5 linked regions of the Macaca mulatta genome follow. The protein of the gene in region 3 interacts with the protein of the main gene of each other region in a pairwise test. Links are inferred from orthologs where the notes say so. Each region holds a gene or a part of one and is shown on either strand. Other genes may lie near its edges.

Region 1 (4,830 bases), on a different chromosome or scaffold from region 3:
TTTCAACAGTGCATATAGGTGGTGGCAGCTCCTGGATTTCACAGTATTTTCTGTGGACAGCCATCCCAACCACCAAGTTTTTTATGAATGCTGTGATGTTTTGATTTACTTAATTATTCCATGTAAATAAAACAGCTTTATCAGACGAAATAGGACTATACCATGAGACTGTAACATAAAGTCAGAAGCATGAGTCCAGGCACCCGGTTAACAAGCCACTGAGATAGCTGTTTAAATGATTCCATTAATATTAGTTAACTTGCTATTTGTGCAATTGTTTTGTTGATTATTAGCTCTCACTAGCAGATAATCCAAGTGGGTACAAAGGTTACATAAAGTTTAGAGGGAGAAGAAGATCCTTAAAAATGAGAAAATGTCTACAAATGACCCATCCTAATTTGTTTGTTTGAGGCAGAGTCTCGCTCTGTCGCCCAGGGTGGAGTGCAGTGGCACCATCTTGGTTCACTGCAATCTCTGCCTTCCGGGTTCAAGCAATTCACCTGCCTCAGCCTCCCGCCACCACGCCTAGCTAATCTCATTTGGTTTCTGTTGGCAGGAGTCCATGGTCCAGTTTATGGGCAGCTAAGATTCACAAGATTCAGCGTTTGAGAATCAGTAGTACCAGAAACTAGTGATTGCCTTGCCTTTGGCTGTCAATGGTTAGTTTTCCTGCTCCAGCCCTCTCTTCTGCAATTACAAAGGCAATTTGCCACCCACTTCGACTGATGGGGTCAGCATTTCATCTTGTAACTCTATTAGTGAAACATTTTGGATGACCGCCTGAATCAGAGGCCCCGGGGAATCAGTGCCAGGACAAACCAGGTGCCTGCTCTCATTGAGCTTGTACTCTAGTTCGGAAGGCAAACACCAAACTATTTTTTAAAAGATAATTATACTTTTTGAAAAGCTTTGGGAAGGAAATAAACAGGGTGAGTGAGGGAGAGAAACTGGCAGGAGGAAGTGATGACTAGATTATAGGGTCGGGGAAAGCCTGTCTTCAGAAGAGACATTTGTTTTGCGTCCTGAAAGCGTTCTTCATTAACTAATGTTGAAGCAATTGATTAGCTAACTAGAAAAGAGAAATAAAACTATTTTAGGTCCTCATCTCACTCCACATACCGAAATAAATTTCACGTGGATCCAAGAGTGAAAGGTAAAACCATAAAAAGAATCAAAGATCTGGAAAAAAGGATATATTTGATTTATGAGTGAAAAATAAAATTTGGAACTTAAGAGCAAATGGAAACTACAAAGAAAGAATTGCACAGGTTTAACTATTCTAAAATCTAGATTTCTCTTCACCAAAAACAACATAAATATAATTAAAAATCAATGAGCATATGGAAAATACCTATCACAACTATGAAATGACTAATGTACTTAACGTTTAAAATGTTTATGCAAACTGTGAAAAAACATTAAACCTCATTAAAAATGGACAAATATGAAGAGATAATTCACAAAGAATGCAAAGTAGTTAACTAACATGAAAAAAAAATTCTGTAACTTTTTTAAAGATACGCCAAATAAAGTAACCTGAGTTTCCCTGTCAACACTGTAGGTAAAAACACTTGATGATACCAAAAGTCTACGGTAAAACTGGCATTCTCACACAGTGATGGTGGATGTGAACATCTGTACAAACTTTCAGGGAGGCAGATTGGCAATACACATTAAAAACCCTAAAAACAGTCATATCTCTTTGGCCCACTTTTATAAATCTATCCTAAGATAGCAATCAGAAATCCAGTCGATAATTTATACATAGGAATGTTCAGCACAGCATTAGTTTTGGCACAAAATGGGAAGCGGCTTGAAAGTCCAATATTAGAAGTCAACTATGACGTATCAAGGATAAAATACTATGCATCTTTTAGAAAAAGCAGGTATAAAATCACTCTACATAGTGTGCCTACATCCATATAAAGAGGCATAGGAGAAAGAGACTAAAGAAGTATTTGAAAATGTTAATGTTAGCTGTGGTAGCTCTGGGTAGTCACATTACAGGCAATTGTTCTTCTCTATTTGCATTAAAATATTTTTAGAATTATGGGCTACATTTATAAAAAAATAAATTTATAAAACAGACAATCAAAGCAACCTTAGTAATTAGATAAAGCAGGGACTAAGCTGGAAAGAAAGTTGAGAAAGGGGAATATGTGCAAGATTGAAAAAATATCTCATGGTCCGAGTCTCAGACCTGAGATTTTGGGGAAGGTGGTATGGGAAGTTGATATTGAAAAATGCTCTTCAGTTATTATGAGGGAAGAAAAGAAGGAAATATGTATCTTTTCCCTCTTCCAAAGGAGCCTTTGATTTTATAGGCAAAGAAGCATAGTGGAAGTTATTAGCGAAACTAAGCCCACATTTTAAAAAAATCTCTTAAAATATGCACCAAGAGAACTAAAATACCACCATAGATTTCCAGTGGGGCATGAGAAGCAATCTGGTCTAATAACTAATATAAGATCTAAACATCTCTTAGGTCCTAATCTTTGAGGCAAGAACACAAGTTTTTCTGTTGATATGAATTTTCGGTGTGTATTTTAAAGTTTTATGATGTGTTCATAACTACCTTTGAATAGTGGTTTAGTTAGTGGTGGTCGGTGACCTGCTTTTGTTTGCCTGTTTCTGATGAACAGTGTGTCGCACCAGCCACAGCTGTGTCCTTGTACACACTGCGTGCAAGACTCTGCTGTGCGTAGTCAGCCCTGCATCATTTCTAACCAGTTACACTGGCCTTACTTTCATCATCTTTGAGGCCAGAGCTACACATGTTGATGCTGCAGAGTGGAAGGAAGGAGAGCAGAGAGTAAAGGGGGTAGATTATGTAGATTATACAGACGTGAGGGAGGGAAGGTCAGAGATACGGAACAACCAGTGAGTTCCCCTGTGCGGATTGCCAGAACGTGAAATATCTGAGAAGAAAACAAAATTGTCTTACAAGGTAGTGGACGTCTGGGTAAGCTGTGATGCTTGCAGGATCAGTACTTACAGAAAGCAGGTGAAGAGCCCATAGGAACAATGAAAAGGAGAAGCAGGAAATTAGGGTTGGTTATTTGAATCTTCCTTCTCGCTGGCTTTCTAATGTCAGACTCCAGAAAGGAGGAGTGGAAGGGAAATGGCAGGAGGATGCAGTCCTGAGCTGGTGCCCTCTCGCATTCACAGTTGTGCCTAGTAAACAGCTCTCTGAACTTTGGTACATTTGTTCTGACTGATGTCACTATCAGCTGATTTCACTTTCGTTTCTTAACTTGTCAGTGACCCATGACTTTTCAGAAATGAGGTATGTAAACAACTTTTTACTGTGCTTCATGACATACTCTTTACTCACACTGTAGCTGGCAAACCAACTGATTTAAAGAGCCAGGAAATGTCTTGATTATATCACACAATAATTCCAGAAAGGGAAGTAGCCGAAGAACTCTCGAAGCTCCCAGTGATTTAAACTGCAAGATAAACACAACCTGGATTTTTATTCAGAAGAAACCCCTCAGGATCATCTGGTCCAAGCTCTCAGCCAATGTGGCAGTCAGGACCCAGGTCACCTCCTACTTATTCTCTTGGGAAGCAGCTATGCCGTCTGTCCCCCCATCCCCTTTCAGAGATCAGTTTTGTAATGATGACTGGGCTTCTCTGGACACAAAATTTTGTGTCCTGAGCATTCTTACTAGGGTATTTAGGCCCATGTTGGAGCAGCTGGAACATCTATTTTATTTCAAAATAAGAGCAGAACAAAGCTTTTATTTTTGTAAGCATTGGGGCTTTTGGCCAGAGTTTAAAAATTGCTTCCGTTGCTCACATGACCAACTGGAAATTTCAACTGTGGGTTAAACTTGGTTACATGAGTCCGCTACCTAGTGCTATTGCTGAATCCTTCAGCGTTTCTCTTCTGCTTCCCTGCCCTTCCTCCAAAGGAGGAGTTCTTTGAACTGCTACATTGCCCTCCCCCTGCCCCTAGTTCTTTTAAACTCAAACTCTAGAAAGAGGTGATGGGATCCAGGTGGAAAGAAGAACAGAGGCTTTGAGATCAGAGAGTTCTGCTACATACTAGCAAATTATTTAATCTCTTTGAGCATCAACTTCTTATCTGTAAAATGGAAACAGTACCTACTTTGCATGGTTGCTCTGGGGACTGGAAATAATATAAGCGCTTAGTACAATACTGGGAACATAGTAGTGGTAGCTATTATTATGAAAAATGGAATTTCTGTATATTTAGTCTAGCCTTTAAGACAGAGAAAATTAACTTTTAGATACCAATATAAAGTAGTTACTCTGAAAACTCAATACTGATGAGTGAAGTAATATAGAAGAGATAGAAACATATTTATATTTATGAAATTTATTTAAGGTTACCATGTACCTAGTTTTCAAAGAGTCAAATAGTTTTTCAAAACTTGTATGAAAATCGGCAGTCCCACACTCTCCCTGTCTTCTTCTTCAGAGGCAAGCACTTTCACCTGTGCTCATTCTTTAGGCATTTACCTCAGTTCTCTAAATAACATGCTTGGATTGATACTTCTTGATTTTTCAGTTTCAGGCATAATCTACTGACTCCCAACCATAGAAGGTGAAGATTTAGCTTTCTTCTTCCCAACTGCGTGTTCCAGAAATATGCTTCCTCTCTTCCTCCTCTATCCAAATTGGTTATAGTTTTGTTTAAATCAATATTCAGTGTTTACAATATTGTAATATGCATAGGTATACTTTATTTTATTGTGCATCTCTTTGTGGATCCTGCATCTTTTACAAATTGAGGATTTGTTGCATCCCTGCATCGAGCAAGACTATTGGCACCATTTTTTCAATAGCCTTTGCTCACTTCAT
Region 2 (3,830 bases), on a different chromosome or scaffold from region 3:
TACAGGTGTGAGCCTCGGTACCTGGCCTAGACAAGAGGTTTTAAATGGAGAAATTAGAGCACTTCCAGGGAGAGGAGCAAACTTGAGTCTTTTATTGTGGGAAAGGGGGAAACACAGTGTTGCCCTGGCTCAGAAGGGAAACGAGGGTCTTGGTTGATACCTCGGGAAGCTTTCTTTTCTTCATAGAATGACTAAGAGGAAATTCTGAGGGGTACCCTCGTTTTCTTTTTTTCTTTTCTTCTTCTTCTTTTTTTTTTTTTTTTTTTTTGAGACGGAGTCTCACTCTGTCACCCAGGCTGGAGTGCAGTGGCATGATCTCAGCTCACTGCAACCTCTGCCTCCTGGGTTCAAGTGATTCTCCTGCCTCAGCCTCCCAAGTAGCTGGGATTACAGGCATGTGCTACCACACCTGGCTAATTTTTGTATTTTCAGTAGAGACGGGGTTTTACCATGTTGGCCAGGCTCATCTGGAACTCCTGATCTCAAGTGATCCACCTGCCTCGGCCTACCAAAGTGCAGAGATTACAGGCGTGAGCCACTGCACCCCACCAGGGTACCCTCATTTTCTATGACATCCAGAAATCGAGGGATTCAGTTTGTGAATTCTTCCTTCCTCTCCTAGTTCCATGTGCAACGCAAAGCCTCTTTAGTGTTCTCTTGCAGAGTCATGCCCAGCCCGTAGGAGACTCTTTGGGTTTGGAGAAGAATCATGGCACCCTCCCCCTGTCATTTTCATCAGTTGTGTCTTCAATCTTTTATTCACCCCTCCACACCCAAAATTCTCTCCTTCTAGAAGCAGAGTTTTCCTTTTCCTTCCTCTTCTCCTCTCCTACTCCCCTACTTTTCCCAGTCCCCCAAACATACCAGGCTCAGAGCTGGATTCATTCAGCATTTATTGTAGCAAAGAGTGGGTAGGGAGAGGAGCTCCAGGCCTGGCCAGTGGGTGTTCTAGAGGCCAGCTGGGGTTGGAAGACAATGGTCTGGACACCTCACTGGGTGGCAGGTTGTGTTCTAAGTTCCACGAAATAGCTCAAGAAGTTAACCAGATCCGTTCCAGCCTTCTTGACCAGAGGTGTCAGCTGCTCCTTTGACTTTTCAAAGTAAGCCCTGGATAGGTGAGGGGATTAGAGTTTAATTTGAGGGACCCTAGGCACTGGCAGGGGCCTCGGTCATGGTGGGAGGTCAGAGCAGACTGACTCAGGTCCCCAAACTCTAGTGCCTGGTCCATCGCATGGCAAAGCCCCTAGGTGGGAGTAGAGCCAAGACCTTTGCTGGGTAGAGGAACAGACCCTAGAGACTGAAATTCAAGGCCCAGTTCTTGCTGTTCCTCTCTATCTAAGAAACGTGTGGGATCTTTGGGCAACGAAGGACTTTTTCTCTCCAATTTAAGCCTAATCTGCCCTAATCCCCACCCCTGGGTTCAGTCTTCTGTGGGGCCTCTCATCTTCCCTTCTTCCTTTCCACAGTTCCACAGCCCCTGAACTCCTTGCCCTTAGACTTACTTGGCCTGGGCCTGAAGCTCTGGGCTCTTGACCTTCTCCATCAGGTCCTTGCCATAGTCAGTCACCGTCTGGAAGTACTGAGAAACCAGGCTCTCCACACTTGGCTCCTCTGCCTGTCTCCGAACCAAAGCTCCTGCACACACACACACACTCTTTTCAGCTGGGTCCACAGCAACGAATCTTGGCCTCTTGCCATACCTCTGCCAGTACCCACCCCAGCTCTCCGCCCCCTCCCCAAAAAGGTGTCCAGTCAGATCTTTGGATGGGCTTTCTGGGCTTTAGATAGGGAATGATCTTCCTTTTGAGCCCTCTAGTTGCCAGACCTGGATATAAGAGCATAGGCAGATAGGTAGCTATAACCACCAGCACATTCTCCCTTTTGGCCCCCTCTCCATATCACACCCACCTTCAAGGCTGCAGATGGTGAGGAGCAGCACAGTTGCTGCGAGCAGCTTCATGTTGGTGACAGTGGGGAAAGCGGCCTAGGAAGAGGGTGGTGGGGGTTGGGGGGGACACTGAAGCCAAATGGGCTTCAGCTCCTCCCCAGAGATCTCCCTACCTGCTGCCCATTTCAACCTGGCTCTCTCCCTCTCCACAACTGAAGCCCAAGCCTCTTTGGATGCTGCTCACACCTCTTGCCTCTTTATCTTACCTAGTCAGCGTCTCTGTCCTTGGCGTCTGTGCCTGCCCTGGCTGGAGAGGTAGGGGCTATATACCTGTCTGTTTACCCACCCCCTGTCAGGTGACAGGAACTATGATGGGTCCAGTGGGACAGGGATTATGTTAGGATAAACAAGTTGGACAGATGGGGGAGGAGAGGACAAGCACATGGAAGACTCATGGTGACGGGGTGAGAGGCAGGGGGTACAGCCCTTAGTGGAGGCTAAGAGGGTACACTTCAGGTATATTTGAGGTTCATTCTTTTGAGATCTGAGGTCCTTGGACTTGAATGCAGCAGGAAGCAGGATTCCAAGTTACTTCTCTGGAAAGCTCTGATATATCAACCCATGGGATACCATCAACCCATCATACCGTGGAAAGCTCATGGTATCTTTATTCCATTGTGGGTAGATCTCATCTCTCAACCTTATCCCACTTTATTGCAATTTGGCAGAGAGATATTGGGGAGCAGAAGAAAGGAGAAAGGAATTGAAATCAGGGACAGGGTTGAGGGCTATGGGGGTTACGAAAATGAGGGTCGGGTAAGAGGCAAGTGTAAATGATTTTGTCCATTTTTGAGTTAATGTGTAATGAGATGGGGAGAAAACAGGAGAGCCCAGAATGACCTGGATGCTGATCAGTGAACATACCCTACCCCCAGTAAAACAAATTCAGAAAACAGCTTCCGCCCATCCCCTCCCAATGGAGGGCTCTGGCAGGAAAAGGGGTGAACAAGAGGCTTCTGCCAGGGTAAAGGTTGAAGGTGCCTGGTCATTTGATCATCTTATCAGTTCTAGGCAGTGATCAGCCAATACTGAGTCAGCAGGGGCAATAGCCCTGGCCCTTGTCTCACTCCTGTTGGGGGTAGGGGAGGGGGATAGGTACATTCTCAGGTTCAAAGCATTTGGGTGAAATCAGTTAAATAGGTATCAGAAGCATTTGTATCTTTCACCCTTTTGCCCCCCCAAGCATACTCCCTGAGTATATGGAACATTCCTGAGAGGTGAGAGTGGAGGCGCAGAGCTAATGAGGGAGGTAGTGACCAAAGACCAAGAAATCTTTGTTTTTTAACTTTTGTTTTAAATTCAGAAGTATATGTGCAGGTTTTTTTGTTTGTTTGTTTTCCTGAGACGGAGTTTTGCTCTTGTTGCTCAGGCTGCAGTGCAATGACATGATCTTGGCTCACTGCGACCTCTGTCTCCTGGGTTCAAGCGATTCTCCTGCCTCAGCCTCCCAAGTAGCTGGGATTACAGGCATACAACACCACGCCTGGGTAATTTTGTACTTTCAGTAGAGACGGGGTTTCTCCATGTTGGTCAGGCTGGTCTTGAACTCCCGACCTCAGGTGATCTGCCCACCTCGGCCTCCCAAAGTGCTAGGATTACAGGCGTGAGCCACCGCACCCAGCCTATATGTGCAGGTTTGTTACATACATAAATTTGTGTCATGCGGATTTGTTGTACAGATTATTTCATCACCCAGGTATTAAGCCTAATATCCATTAGTTATTTTTCCTGATCTTCTCCCTCCTCCCACCCTTCACCCTCCAAGACCAAGAAATCTTACTCCATCTTCAATTATTCCCCTGTGGAGCGCTTAGTGCTTGAGGTCAGCCCTTTGGCTTGCCCCGGTCCTGGGATGGAGTGCATTTGGGGGCCAGGCTCCATA
Region 3 (4,909 bases):
CTTGTGACTAGGCCTTGTACATCCTGGGTCCCTATTTCCCACCTATGTTGTATGTAAACAACATAGTCCAGAATCTCTGTCCCCTAACTGTGGTGGCCACAGCAAGGGCCTTAGGCTTAGAGAATGGAATAAAGATGCTGGAATCCCAGATGCCTGCAATAAGCCAGAACACTAGCCTGAAATTAGTTTGTTATCTCTCTGGGTGAAAAGAAGCCCCTGTAACTACACAGGAATAAAGGACTTCCCTACAAAAGAAGGGCATTTACCTACTGCCAACCTCTTAAATTTCATCTGCTCAAGGCCAACTATGCTAGCCTCAATTACAACCCCTAAAGTTGCCCCAAATTCCTAACATTAACCCCACCTCTAATTTGTTTCCTGATTCCCACTACCGGCTTGGACATTCATCCCTTTCCCAGCAGAGACTCATATCCAATCCCTGATCCCTGATACTGATCTAAGTTTTACCTTTAGCACCAAATCGCCTGATGTTAACCCTAAATGTTGACCCCTAAGCCTAAAGTTCATTTGTAACTTGATTCCTAACTCACGCTTTCACTGTTTATCCTTAATACCGACCATGTCAACATTCTTTAATCCCTCAAACAGGCTCTAACCTGATTCCTGTTGTTGACCCTTAACCCGACCCTGAACTCAAATTATGACGTATGATGGCCATCCCAGCAAACAAAATAATGACCTTAATCTAAACCTTACCTACCTAAAACGGACCTGACTCACACTACTAACTCTTAAGTTTTAACCCCAGCTTTTAACTCCTATAGCGACCCTTGATTCCTAAACGGACCCCACCTAATCCCCAACTCACCCAAAGCTTTCCTACCCACATGGCCGCTATCAGCTAACACCAAAGCCCGTCCCCGTCCTGCGCCCCGCTGCTACCCGACTCCTCACGCTCCCCAAAGCCTATCCCAGGCAGAGGACTGCCCCCAGGAGAGGCCTGTCTCCCCTAAGACGGCCTACTTCACGATGAGCCCAAGTTGAGATGCGCTGGACGCTGACCTCTCCAACTAACAGGACCCGAACCGGACACGCAGGAGAGGCAGGGCCCCGCCCGCCCCCGGGGCCAGGCTCCGCGGCCCCACCCTAAGGCCCCCGCCCGGCCCGGTCTGGCCTACCTGCGCTGCCCGGCTCTGCGCCCCGCCTGCCGGCCCGCCGGCCCGCTGCCCTGCCGCTTCTCGGGTCGCCCTCGGGCTCCGGCCTCGCCCTCCCTTCGACACTCTCTCGGCCACTTCCGTCCTGGGAACGTCCCCCACCCGCGGGCGGCGCCCTGGGGCAGCGCTCTATGGTCGCGGGGGGCAGGCAGGAAGCTGCTCTGGCCGCGTTCTCGATGCTCGGGGGCCGCCAAAGGCCGGCAGCCCCTCCCTGGCAGGAAGCGAGGGTGCGGCGCAATCCGGAGAGAACGCCAAGACGACGCCCGAGTTCCCTTTCAGGCCAGAACTCTTCCTTTTTCTAGCTTGGGGGAGAAGGCGGAGCCGGAGCCCCGGAACCCCCGCCCTCGGGGTGCGAGGCGGCAGCAGGGCCGTCCCCTACATTTGCATAGCCCCTGGGACGTGGCGCGGCACCCAGGCCTCTTCTCAGTTGGAGGGAACTCCAAGTCCCACAGTGCCACGGGGTGGGGTGCGTCACTTTCGCTGCGTTGGAGGCTGAGGAGAATTGAGCCTGGGAGGCGGGTCCGGAGAGGGCTACGGAAAGCCCCCGGCCGGGAAGCCCGGCCGTAGAGGGACAGTGGATAGGTGCCCGAGGCCTACAGCTGGCCTGGGGCTCGTGTCTGGGCTTCGGACGTTGGGGCCCGGTAGCCCACCCTTTCCGTAGTTGTCCCAAATGGAGCTGGAATTGGACGCTGGTGACCAAGACCTACTGGGCTTCCTGCTAGAGGAAAGTGGAGATTTGAGGACGGCGCCCGATGAGTCCGTGAGGGCCCCACTGGACTGGGAGCTGCCGCTTTCTGAGGTGCGTTGGGGTTCTGACTGGGGAAAGCGTGGGATGTCCATGAGGTCAGGGGATGGTGATAGGTCAAGGCCTGTTCACTGGAACCCTGCGCAGGTACCGAGCGACTGGGAGGTAGATGATTTGCTGAGCTCCCTGCTGAGTCCCCCAGCGTCGTCGTTGAACGTTCTCAGCAACTCCAACCCCTGCCTTGTCCACCATGACCACACCTACTCCCTCCCACGAGAACCTGTCTCTATGGATCTAGGTGAGTCTGAAATAAGTTTGGGGGGAGGACAGGGTTCATGGGCCTGGCTATTCATACGTTCCCTTTTGCAGAGAGTGAGAGCTGTAGAAAAGAGGGGACCCAGATGACTCCACAGCATATGGAGGAGCTGGCAGAGCAGGTACTTGACTTGATTTTCAGGATGATTACTCTCACATTCCTCAGGTGGGGGCAGGATTCCCCATTCCTCTGTGACATCCCCATGCAACTGCCGCCCACTTTCTGGTTACCCTAGGATATTGTTAGGCTGGTACTGACAGATGAGGAGAAGAGTCTATTGGAGAAGGAGGGGCTTATTCTGCCTGAGACACTTCCTCTCACTAAGGTAAGACTCTCGTTAGTTGAGCAAAGGCTGAAAAGGGATTAAAAGTCTCAAGTAGGCCAATTCTGTTAACTTTATATCAATAACTTTAAAAAAGGATTGAGGTGAGAAACTTAGCAGATTTATTGCTAATAGGAAGTTGAGGCAGGTACCCAATATGCTAGATGCAAGGCAGATCCTCATTTTCGTTGGGCTTACACAAATTTTGGTGTTCTGTTAAAAAACAAACAAAAAAAACCCTCAAAATTATCAGTGCAACATTAGTATTGGGCCTTGGAAAGGACTGTGTAAGTGAAGGGCCTTGACACTTCATTGGCTTCATAGTAATCCACCTCTTGCTGAATGGTAGAACTGTTTAGAGAGTTCAACACGATTGGACTAAGCAGTACATGAATAAATGCAAAATCCTTAGTTTCCAGTTTTAAGCAATCAGTGGCAACTTCACAAGCAGAGTACTGGGATACTATGATGAAATCAGTGCTCATTAATAGAAAAGTTCCAGGAATTTTTTTTTTTTTTTGACAAGGTCTTGTTCTGTTGCACAGGCTGGAGTGCAGTGATGTGATCATGGCACACTGCAGCCTTGAATTTCTGGGCTTAGGTGATTCTCCCACCTCAGCCTCCTGAGTAGCTGAGACTACAGGTGCACACCACCCTGCCTGGCAAATTTTTTTTTTGGTGTTTTTAGTAGAGATGGGGTTTTGCCTTGTTGCCAGGCTGGTCTTGAACGCCTGTGCTCAAGTGATCTACCCACCTTGGCCTCCAAAAGTAAAGAATTTTAATTCCTTCAAAGTACAAGATGAGTCAGCAGTGCGATGTGGCTACTAGGAAAGTTAATGGGATTTGGAAACTGTAGCAAGAGTTATTGTCTCCACAAGTCACTATCTTGCTTTCCTTTATACTGGCTAGAGCACATCTTTGACAGATACTAAGAAGATGCAGTCTATCCTAAGAAGATGAGTTAAAATTTTTGTCTAAGCTGTTTTTTTCTTGAACTTTTTTTCTCTGAGGAAATGTCAAATGCCTGAAAATAGCTAAACAGGGTTCATTCTATTTGGCCCCAGAGATACTAGGTAAGTCCAACGTATAGAAATTATAAGGAGACAGCTGTTGGTTCAGGATAAGGAAGTTTTTGTTTGAAGACAGATTCTTGCTTTACTGCCCAGGTTGGAGAATAGTGGTGAGATCATGGCTCACTACAGCTTTGACCTCTCAGGCTCAAGCGATTGTCCTTCCTCAGCCTCCTGAGGAGCAGGGACCACAGGCATGTGCCACCACACCCGGCTAATTTATTTTTAGTAGAGACAAGGTCTCACTGTGTTGCTCAGGCTGGTCTCAAACTCCTGGGCTCAAGCGGTCCTCCTGCCTTAGCTCCCCAAAGTGTTGGGATTACAGGCATGAGCCATGTCACTTGAATATTGCCTGACCAATTTTTTTTTTTAATAGTTTAAAATGGTCTGGCTTGTTAGGGTTAACACATGGTCCGTGGAGGCATTCAGAAAGAATGTGAATGCCTATTGGTCAGGGAAGCTGTAGAAGGGATTTCTGTATTGGAAAGAGATGGATCTCAGTTGCCTTTCAACTTCTTGTTCTAGAGTCCCTCTAATGATACCCCTTTCCTTGTTTCCTTTCAGATGGAGGAACAAATTCTGAAACGTGTGCGGAGGAAGATTCGAAATAAAAGATCTGCTCAAGAGAGCCGCAGGAAAAAGAAGGTGTATGTTGGGGGTTTAGAGAGCAGGTATGAAAGGGAGAGGGACTCAGTTTTAAGTGTTAGGTTTTTGAAGGGAGGACACAGGCCATATCCCCATATCTTTGTTATTTCCCCCAGGGTCTTGAAATACACAGCCCAGAATATGGAGCTTCAGAACAAAGTACAGCTTCTGGAGGAACAGAATTTGTAAGTATCCCTCCAAACCATTCCCTTCCTACGCTCCTCATTTAATGTTTTCTCACTCTTTCCCCTGCCCTACACTTGATTTCTAACAGGGTGGCTGCCTTCACTAGGTCTCTGATTCTAAGAAGCTCACAGTAGTGGGGAATATATTTATAAGTAACTGAGAATAAGCTAAGTACCTAGAAAAAGAAAGGGGGTAAGAAAGACCTCATGGGCTTTCATAGGATTCTGGGGTTGGGTTGGGAAAGCATTCTAGGCAGAGAGAAAGCATCCTAGGCAAGAGGATTAGCCCAGCATAGTCCTCTTGGGCTGGAACACATGTGAGCTGGGACAGAAGGTAGAGAACGTAGAGAATGCCCGGTGAGGATTATGTGCATAGCTGATCAGACAATGGGGAACTACTGATGATATTTGCAAAGGAGGTTAAGTCCTGGAAGAGTTTGTTTTGTTTTGT
Region 4 (4,845 bases), on a different chromosome or scaffold from region 3:
GCCTGGGCAACAAGGCGACAAGGTGAAACCACGTCTCTACAAAAATATATATATAATACATATCATATAATATCATATGTATATATTACATAATATATATGTTATATTATATATTACATTATATATTATGTAATATATATAATACAAATATATATAAAATATTAGACATCCCGATTATACTACTCATTTTCTTTCGCTAGGAGGCGTGTGTGTGTGTGTGTGTGTGTGTGTGTGTGTGTGTGGTGGGGGGGTGCTGTTTCTCAAAAGCATATTTCAAAAATTGGAGGCCAAGTAAACTTCTGGTCACATTTTTGAGGGTTTGTTTTTTCCCAGCAATGAACGCTCTAGTTCAAATATACTTCGTAAATTTTGAACAGATAATAAAAAGTTGATTGTAAAACTCTACATTTAAAAAGAGCTTTAAAAACACATTTTCATTTTTTAAAAAATCAAACATCTTGCAGCAGAAATTAGACACAATCAAGGGAAAACTACCAGCGTCCTACCAGTCACAACCCTAGAGAAAATGCCACAGGTCGTCCAAAAAACGCATTCATTTGAGCCAACAGCTCTTTCCTCCCGCCAAAGCTATCCCTCGAACGTCAGAAGCTGACCCAAGGAGTGATTGATGATTTCTCCTTTTTGATTCCCCCTCACCCCCGCCACTCCCAATCCACCTGCTTTAAGGTGTCAACGCGACTACAAACGGTTAACAGTGACCAGCAGCAGAGAGAAACAAACGTCCCTGACAACCCACAGCTGAGTAAGCAAGAGCTGTTTATTCACCAACGTGTTCCATTTGGAGACTGTCGGCGAGCCCTGGAAAGCCCAAGCACATTAAGGTTCCTGGAGAGGGAGAGAATCATCTTTCCTTCCCCCCACTCCCCAGCCCCAAACACACACTGAGAGACTCGGGTGGAAGCCGTCTGGTCCAGGCAGTCCCGACTTGCCCGCCCCCTCAAGAAAAACCTCACGCACCAAAGCAGCCGACCCCTTGCGGGGGTGGTGTAATTCCCCCAAAATGGGCTCTGCCGCAGGAGAGGCTGGCTGCAGCGCCGGGGGCTTCGGAAGGAGTTACTGCCACCCCCAATGCCGCCACTGCCCGCCCTGACGCCACGGCCGGGGCTGGGGACCCTGATGAGAAATGGCCCTTCAGCCCCCTCCCCTCACCTGGCTCGGTCCCACCTGAGGGCTAGAGCGGAGGCAAAAAGAAACAGGCAGGGAGGGCTGACCTTGTTGCTACTGACAGTGGAGCGGCGCATCCTGCTGCTTCCTGGAAAGCGGCCCGAAAGACATTTTTTGCCCCTGGAGGAAGGAAACGGGAGGGCGCCGGCCGGACGGCGGCGGGCGCGGAGGCGTTGGTCCGGGCAGGCTGTGCAGCCTCTAAGCAGGGACGGTCCGAGGACTACATCTCCCAGGCTGCTTTGGGCCGCCCTGCGTCGTAACCCCGGCGCGCACGGAGGCGGTGACTCTTACCTCACAAAGGTAGCTCCTCCGCCGGCAGCAACTCGGCGCCCGCGGTCCATGGACCGGAACCTCGGGCCGACGGACAGGAACCCGGGCCGCGATCGCCGCCTCCCCGCCTCAGGCTCCTCCTCCTCGTTCTCCGCCGCCTCCACCGGACGCCCGCAGGCCCCGCACCGCCGCCGCCCGGCTAGCGCAGCTGCCCCGGGAAGCTGGGTGACTGGTTCGCGGCTGCCGCCGGACTGCGGCCTACTCCGCTGTCTCTCAGTGCTATTGTCCCTGGGCCTGGCCTTGAGCGGGTCCACTGGGGAGGGCCGAGTGCGCCGGCTCCGCGGAAGATGCCGGACCAAGCCTTACAGCAGATGCTGGACAGGTACGGGCAGCTGTTGGGGGGGGACCGGGAGCCGCCGACCCTCGCTCTGGCCCTGCCCGCGCCCGCCCTCGAGGCTCTTGGTGAGCAGAACTCGGCGTGCCGGGAGGAGTTCCACGGCCGGGGGGCCGTGAGAGGGGCAGAAAGTTTGGAGTCTAGACTTGGGGAGGACAGAACGAGCGGCCTGGGTCGTAGACTTTGGGTGAAACTTAGCTAAGGAGTGGCGTCTGGTTTCTTTGGAACCCCGTTTTGACGTGAGAGGGACCCATGTTAATCCACAAAATTAGTTTTCCTTACCCTCCTCGCCTCCCCCTTCCTCCCTCCCCAACTTGTAAAGTGTCAGCGATGTCACTGGCAAGAAGAACCGGGTTATCTTTCAGGAGAATGACCCCCTTACAATTTTAAGTCTCTGTCTGAGAACCAATGATAAACATTCTTTTAGAAAGCCTGATAGGCTGATTTCGTTCTCTCCCCTTTCCCTGAGCCCGCACCACCCTCCCCCCGCCCCATCCCGTCCCCACCTCCGAACTGTAAGGTCAGAGTATCCGCAAGGGAGCTTTAACGGTCAGACCAAAGTAGAGGTTATGGAAAACAGCCAAATGAGTCCAATGCTGAACACTTAGTGTACTTGGCGATCGTTGGGTTCATTGAAAACGTTTCAGCTCGTACAGGAGTCCAGTTGCCCATTCTTGGGGGGCCCCAGTCTGTAAAACTCTTTGTGAAGTCGGGTGCACCGCCCTCTGCTGTTGAAATTCTAGTCCGTGGGTTCTACCATGAGTTTTGGGAGACTCTAGATCCACATTTCCCCCCAGCTGAGTCTTACTTTCTGGCATAGCAAGTTGTACAAGCTAATTCATAATGTTTGTGGTTGCTTACAATTCTCAGCAGACATCACTTGCCACCCATTTCAGCAGGTGGTACCAACTCTTTGTACTCAGTAAAATTCCAACTGTAAGGTGTTAAATGAAGGCCCTCCCTTGAGTTTATACCCAGTTAAATGCTGTTTGGGTCTGCCACACCCAGAACACAAGTGACCCAAGTGTACACATCCTTCCAGAGTGACAGACATTTTCTTGGAGCTTAGAATTTTGAGCCATCTCAGTTGATAGAAATTATGTCACTAATTTTTTTCAGTTGAGGTAACTGGTGATTCATCCAGCCCTTGTTTCAGGTCAACATTCTGACAATTGTATTGACCACCCTTTTATGTATGTGTGTGGTTTATAAGCTCTTGGAAGGCAGAAACTTACTCACTATTTATCTTGAATCCCAGAACAGAGCCTGGTACTCAGTAGGTAATCAGTAAGTATTTGCTGTATGAACTGACGCACAAAGTTATTTGTCAGTTTCCCCAGTTGTCTAGGGGTCTGATAATTTACCAGGTTTTCCTTTCATTGTAAATTGGCAAATTAAAATATGCCCAGAGGAGACCACCTGCCACTGCCAGTTCTGTTCTGTTGAAACCCTGTTTTGATGCAGGGTATTTTGTAATTAATTTTTTCCTCTGAGGGCCTCCTTTCATTTTTACATAGTGACTTTTTTTCTTCTTTTTTTGAGACAGGGTCTCTGTTGCCCAGACTGGAATGCAGTGGCAGTGGCAGTGGTCTGATCTCAGCTCACTGCAACCCCTGCCTCCCGGGCTCAGGTGATCCTCCTACCTCAGCCTCCCTAGTAGCTGGGACCACAGCACATACCACCATACCCAGCTAATTTTTTGTATTTTTATAGAGCCGGAGTTTTGCCATGTAGCCCCTGCTGGTCTCAAACTCCTGGGCTCAAGTGATCCAAGTGATCCTCCCGCCTAGCCTCCCAAAGTGCTGTGTCGTCAAGCATGAGCTATCGCGCCCGGCCTAGAAAAGTTCTTATGTCCAAAAGCTGACCTGGCTTTTCATATGCTCTTTGGAGATTTCCATAAAAGTAAGAAGCCAAAGAATGAGGCTGGGCACAGTGGCTTACCCCTGCAATCCCAGCACTTTGGGAAGCCAAGGCGGGCAGATTACTTGAGGTCAGGCGTTCGAGACCAGCCTAGCCAACATGGTGAAAACCCTGTCTCTACGGGAAAAAAAAAAAAAAATTAGGCAGGCATGGTGGCATGGGCCTGTAGTTCCAACAGGAGGCTGAGGCATGAGAATTGCTTGAACCTGGGAGACGGAGGTTGCAGTGAGCCGAGATTGCACCATTGCACTCCAGCCTGGGTGACAGAGCAAAACTCCATCTCAAAAAAAAAAAAGCTAGTGAGGCATTTAAACCTCAACAGAAATGTGAAGATTCTGGCTGCCATTTACTGAAATAGGTGACTATGACACTGGCTTACTTTCATCTTTGTACTCTTTTGACATATCTTAAAGTAGATTTTTAACATGACTTTCAAAGACCTTTATTGTCTAGATTAGTAGTTGGCAACCTGTTTCCATGTTAGAATTACCTGGGGAACATTTCAAAATATGCATGGATGCTGGATCCTGTCTAAGACCAGTAAGATCAAAAATTTCTGTAGGGTAGAGCTTGGGCATCTATATTTTAAAACTTTTTAAATGTTTCAGATATGGCTGAAACCTACTGCCCTAAGTCCTAAGGCAGTGATATCTTTCAAGATAAGAGATAATAAGGCATAGTGATTAAAGCTTGGGCTCAGAGATAGAAAGCATGAAATTCAAATTTTGCCACTTACTAGCTATGTGACTTTGAATTTAGATTCTGACACTATGTATATGATCATTTATAAAATGGGAACCCTACTTCACAGGGCTACAGCAAATGAAAACATACATCTCTGTAAAACAACAAAACACTCTGTGTTAGCCCAATAGAAGGCACTTAAGACTAATGTAAACCCGTTTGGCCGTTTTTCCCCCATCTACTTTATGTTTAAAGTTTTCTTCATCTGGGCTGGCCCTACTGCAAGTTGAACACAAAGATACTCAACATGGTTCACTTGAGGAATACCAACAGGGCCAAAAGACTAAAATATGTCAGCCTATTAGGACCCAGAATTCTTTTCATGAATTTGA
Region 5 (4,819 bases), on a different chromosome or scaffold from region 3:
AGGGCCCAGGAGATATAAATTAGCAAAGCATTTTCTCCTGAGCATTCATACATCTTTTAATATTTGTAGGCAGTTTAAAATTGAGCTCCCAAGCAAACATTTGAGAACAGACACCTTGAGCAAACCGTGAAATCGGTGAAAATAAGAATTTATTTTAATTTTTTTGAGATAGGATCTTGCTTTGTCACCCAGGCTGGAGTGCAGTGGCATGATCTCAGCTCACTGCAACCACTACCTCCCGGGTTCAGGTGATTCTCCTGCCTTAGCCTCCCGAGTAGCTGGGATTACAGGCGCCCACCACCACGCTCGGCTAATTTTTGTGATTTTAGCAGAGATGGGGGTTTCACCGTGTTGGCTAGGCTGGTCTCGAACTCCTGACTTCAAGTAATCCGCCCGCGTCGGCCTCCCAAAGTGCTGGGATGATGCTTGAGCCACCATGCCCGACCTGAAGACCGGCATTTATACCCATGGAGTGCAGGAAAGGACCTTGTAATTGTTAACAAGTGACACTTAGTGGCAGATGAGACCTAATGAAGCCAGGCCCACCTTCCACACCAGATTATAAATTCCCTCGGAGCAGAGAGTAAATGTTTTATTCACCAACATGCCCAGATCCCTCGCAATGCCTACGCTTGACAAACACCTGTTGTGAACAAGTGCACGAGGCAGCCTAGCAGCTAGAGTATTTCGAGGTCATCCTAACTGGGTTCCACTTTTGAATTTTTGTTTTTTGGGTTTGTTTGGAGACAAGGTCACCCTCCACTTGGGAGCAAAGTCTCCCAAGCTGGAGTGCAGTGGTGGGAACTCTGCAATCTCAACCTTGTGGACTCAAGTAATCCTCCTGCTTCAGCCTCCGGGGTAGCTGGGGCCAGAAGTGCGCGCCACCTTGCCCGGCTCCTATTTTGGGTTTCCGGTAGTGCTCTCGCTATTGTGACCAGGCTGGTCTCGAACTACTGGGTTCAAGCAATCCTCCCACCTCGGCCTCCCAAAGTACTGGGATTACAGACGCGAGCCACTCGCCCGGCCAAGTTCCACTTCTGAAAGCTTGGGGAGCAGCTGGGCCTTCCAGGAAAAGTGCTCCACCTCCCGACTGCAGGCAGAGCCCCCGGCCCGGCTCTTTCCAGGGCCTAAAGCTAACATTCGGTCAAGACGCGAAATGAGGAATTCGGGTCAGGGTGGCAAAGCAAAGCGCGATGACAGTGAGGACGACGTCTAGACGCAAACACACATCAAATCGGGCCGAAGCCCGCTGTCGCCTGGCGGGCTAAACCTGGCACCCCGGGCAACGCGCGACTCCGGCACCAGACGCTCTCCGAGTCAAACTACATCCCCCGGCGTGCACTGCAGCGCCCGCCCCTGGCCGGCCGGCGGGGCCTGGGAGGAAGGCGGCCGAGCTGCCCGTCCCGCAGGTCCCCTAGGGCCCTTTCTCTGCGGCCTTTCCCCACCCCGGACCGGGCACTTCTCGGGCTCTGCGACTACCATTCGCCCCGCTCGCTCCCTCAGGAGTCGCCTAGGCCGCGCAGTCTGCCGCCTTCCCGTCAGGCCTTCGCGCCGGCGCTCCCGCAATCACGGGCTAGAGAGGGTGGGCGTTCCGGCTCGGGAGGACCCTTCTGCGGCCCCGGAAGAGCCTCGTCCTGGGCAGCGGTGGTGCGGCGGTCGCCGTTATGGCCACGGGACTGGGCGGCTGACCGCCGGGCTAGGAGAGGGCCCAGAGCCCCGAATCTGGGTGGCCGCTGCTCGAGCGCGTCCTGCGCCATGGCCGCCTCCGCCGCCTCCTCGGAGCATTTCGAGAAGCTGCACGAGATCTTCCGCGGCCTCCATGAAGACCTACAAGGGGTGCCCGAGCGGCTGCTGGGGACTGCTGGGACCGGTGAGGCGCGGGTGGGCCACGCCGTGGGGAGCGCGGCCCCGCGCGCTTTGGAATTTTCCCCCACCTTCCTCCCAGACCCGGGCCCGCGTCTCCTTCCTCCGCGTCCTCAGACACGCCCCCTAGGGCTGGCTGGGTCGCAACCCCGGGTCTCCCTGCCACTGAGAGTGAATTGGGGACGCGCCCAGGGACGCGGGGTTCAGTTCCCTGGGTTCCTTCTATGGCCTTCCACATTTTCTCGTTTTTTTCCACTGCGGCAAACAGAGCAGAGGGGCTTTTACATCTGCGGTCCTGTAATGTAGCGTGGGTTTCTTTCGTAGCTGTTTTTGTTTGTTTTATGCATTTAGAAGCACTAGTGTCAAGACAGGTCTAGTTTTCACCAGACTGACAGAGGATCTGTAGCACAGAAAAAGGGTTAAAAACCCAAAAGAGTCATAATTTGGGGCGTTGGTATATACCTGTTATTGGAGGGTAGAGAGCTGGCCTTTAAAACCGTATGGTGGCGTTTAGATGTGGTCTTGTTTTGAACGTTTTTACTGCTGAGACTATTTACTACCCCTTCATTTCATGGTTCAGGTTGCTACAAGTTTTGTCTGGAGGAGCTAGAGTTTTCTGGCCCTAGATCCATAGGAAGACCTGCTATATATAGTTCTTGGCCTCCGGATATATAGAACTTGATGGCAAGGACAAAACTTTGTTTTATTGCTTTTATTTAAGGATCAGAGCTTGAGTGTTTGCTCAACGAATTACTCAAGGTCATAGGAATTGAATGACTCTGGTGAGAATGAAATGCATGTATTTAATATATATTTATTGTGAGGCTGCTGTGTGCCAGGCACTGTTCTAGGTGCTGGTGAATATTGCAAATTACAGTGAAAAAGACATGCACGTCCCCATTCTAGTGGGTAGGTGATAAACAATATATAACTATTAAGCGGCAGTGTTAAAGAATACAGGAAAATAAATCAGAGTAAAGGAATAGGGGATGGGACTTCAGTTTTATTTTATTATTATTATTATTATTATTATTTTTGAGACAGAGTCTTACTCTGTCATCCAGTCTGGAGTGCAGTGGTACGATCTCGGCTCACTGCAGCCTCCACTTCCCAGATTGAAGCAATTCTCCTGCCTCAGCCTCTGGAGTAACTGGGATTACAGTTGCGCCACCACCCCTGGCTAATTTTTTTTGTATTTTTAGTAGAGACGGGGTTTCACCATGTTGGCCAGGTTGGTCTCTAACTCCTGACCTCAAGCGATCCGCTTTCCTCGGGACTTCAGTTTTAAATAGGGCGGTTGTGAAAGTCCTCTGTGAGGAGATGGCATTTGAACTGAGACTTGAATGAAGAGAGGGAGTAAACCAGAAATCTGGGAGAAGTGAGTGTCAGAAGGAGGGAATAGCACTGCAAATGCCCTTAAGCGGAAATGAGCTTGGTGTGTTCAACGAAGAGCAGGAAGTTCCATGTGTTTGGGATGAAGTGAGCAAAGGAGAGAGGTAGGCAGGGCCAGATCATGTAGGGCCTTGTGGACCATGGTGAAAGACTTGTGCCTTTTTCTAAATATGATGGGATGCAGTTAAAATATATTGTGCAGAACCATTGTGGGATCTGATTTATGTGATTGAAAAGTTGACTGCAGGCAGGGCACGGTGACTCACACCTGTAATTCCAGTGCTTGGGGAAGCAGAGGCGGGCAGATCACTTGAGGTCAGGAGTTCAAGACCAGCCTGGCCAACATAGTGAAACCCTATCTCTACTAAAAATACAAAAATTAGCCAGGCATGGTGTCAGTTGCCTGTAGTCCCAGCTACTCAGGAAGCTGAGGCAGGAGAATTGCTTGAACCCAGGAGGCAGAGGTTGCAGTGAGCCGAGATCCTGCCGCTGCACTCTAGTCTGGGCAACAGAGCAAGACTCTGTCTCAGAAAAAAAAAAAAAAAGGAAAAGAAAAGACTGCAGGCTAGGCGTGGTGGCTCACACCTGTAATCCCAGCACTTGGGGAAGCTGAGTTAGGAGTATTGCTGTATTGAATGATTTTGAGAACAGCCTGGGCAACGTGGTGAAACGCCATCTCTACAAAAAATACAAAAATTAGCCAGGCATTGTGGTGCGTGCCTGTAGTCCCAGCTCCTGGGGAGGCTGAAGTGGGAGGATCACTTGCGCCCTGGAGCTGGAGGTTGCAGTGAGCCAAGATCGCACCACTGCACTCTAACCTGGATGACAGAGCAAGACTCTGTCTAAAAAAAAAAAAAGTAGACTGCATTTTCAACCTGGCACTGAGTTAATTTTTGCATTGCCCATTTCTATAAGGCTAAATAATGCAAAAGAACATTGCTTGAAAAATAGAAAATTGAATTCATTATTACTATGGTTTGAATGTCCCCTCTAAAACTTATGTTGAAATTTATTTGCCATTTTAATCGTGTTAAGAGGTGGGACCCATAAGAAATGATTAGACCATGAGGGCTCCATCCTCAGGGATTGGATTGTTATCCTGAGAGTGGGTTGGTTGCTGAGAGAGTGGGTTAGTTCAGCCCTCTCCTGCTTGCCTGCTCTCTTGATCTGTTGCTCTTCCACCTTCTGCCATAGGGTGACACATGGGTAGCAAGAAGGCCCTTGAAAGAATCAGGCCCCTCAGCCTTGGGCTTCCCAGCCTCCGGAACTCTGAGAAATACATTTCTTTTCTTTATAAATTACCCAGACTCAGCTATTCTGTTATAGCAACATAAAGCTAAGATAGTTACATTCACGTTTGTTGTCTCCCCAGCCTTTTTCTCCATCCTGCAAAGAGGACAGTCGGAAATATGTGATTTTTTTTTCTTTTTTTTGAGACAGAGTCTTGCTCTGTCACCCAGGCGGTGATACAATCTCAGCTCACTGCAACCTCCACCTCCTGGGTTCAAGCGATTGTCATGCCTCAGCCTCCCAAGTAGCTGGGATTACAGGCGCATGCTGCCAC

The links. The genes of interacting proteins can lie anywhere in the genome.
Region 1: the proteins of CREB3 (region 3) and TMEM140 interact in a two-hybrid assay, tested with the Homo sapiens proteins (2 studies listed by BioGRID and IntAct). The two-hybrid records come from large-scale screens. The link is inferred for Macaca mulatta from reciprocal best matches to the Homo sapiens genes CREB3 and TMEM140.
Region 2: the proteins of CREB3 (region 3) and APOA2 interact in a two-hybrid assay, tested with the Homo sapiens proteins (3 studies listed by BioGRID and IntAct). The link is inferred for Macaca mulatta from reciprocal best matches to the Homo sapiens genes CREB3 and APOA2.
Region 4: the proteins of CREB3 (region 3) and MARCHF5 interact in a two-hybrid assay, tested with the Homo sapiens proteins (2 studies listed by BioGRID and IntAct). The two-hybrid records come from large-scale screens. The link is inferred for Macaca mulatta from reciprocal best matches to the Homo sapiens genes CREB3 and MARCHF5.
Region 5: the proteins of CREB3 (region 3) and VTI1B interact in a two-hybrid assay, tested with the Homo sapiens proteins (2 studies listed by BioGRID and IntAct). The two-hybrid records come from large-scale screens. The link is inferred for Macaca mulatta from reciprocal best matches to the Homo sapiens genes CREB3 and VTI1B.

What each region holds. Positions count from the first base shown.
Region 1 is NC_133408.1:174,969,868-174,974,697, reverse strand, and holds the start of TMEM140 (transmembrane protein 140), read right to left. Parts: upstream 3,177-4,830; 5' UTR 2,996-3,176; intron 1-2,995.
Region 2 is NC_133406.1:105,659,974-105,663,803, reverse strand, and holds APOA2 (apolipoprotein A-II), read right to left. Parts: upstream 2,238-3,830; 5' UTR 2,155-2,237; intron 1,985-2,154; 5' UTR 1,961-1,984; coding exon 1,909-1,960; intron 1,636-1,908; coding exon 1,503-1,635; intron 1,108-1,502; coding exon 990-1,107; 3' UTR 877-989; downstream 1-876. UniProt on the Homo sapiens protein: May stabilize HDL (high density lipoprotein) structure by its association with lipids, and affect the HDL metabolism.
Region 3 is NC_133420.1:63,961,288-63,966,196, reverse strand, and holds the start of CREB3 (cyclic AMP-responsive element-binding protein 3), read left to right. Parts: upstream 1-1,465; 5' UTR 1,466-1,845; coding exon 1,846-1,974; intron 1,975-2,067; coding exon 2,068-2,218; intron 2,219-2,289; coding exon 2,290-2,357; intron 2,358-2,471; coding exon 2,472-2,561; intron 2,562-4,192; coding exon 4,193-4,299; intron 4,300-4,389; coding exon 4,390-4,458; intron 4,459-4,909. UniProt on the Homo sapiens protein: Endoplasmic reticulum (ER)-bound sequence-specific transcription factor that directly binds DNA and activates transcription. Plays a role in the unfolded protein response (UPR), promoting cell survival versus ER stress-induced apoptotic cell death.
Region 4 is NC_133414.1:104,261,698-104,266,542, forward strand, and holds the start of MARCHF5 (E3 ubiquitin-protein ligase MARCHF5), read left to right. Parts: upstream 1-1,669; 5' UTR 1,670-1,802; coding exon 1,803-1,837; intron 1,838-4,845. UniProt on the Homo sapiens protein: Mitochondrial E3 ubiquitin-protein ligase that plays a crucial role in the control of mitochondrial morphology by acting as a positive regulator of mitochondrial fission and as an important regulator of immune response.
Region 5 is NC_133412.1:140,848,519-140,853,337, reverse strand, and holds the start of VTI1B (vesicle transport through interaction with t-SNAREs homolog 1B), read left to right. Parts: upstream 1-1,643; 5' UTR 1,644-1,755; coding exon 1,756-1,870; intron 1,871-4,819. UniProt on the Homo sapiens protein: V-SNARE that mediates vesicle transport pathways through interactions with t-SNAREs on the target membrane. These interactions are proposed to mediate aspects of the specificity of vesicle trafficking and to promote fusion of the lipid bilayers.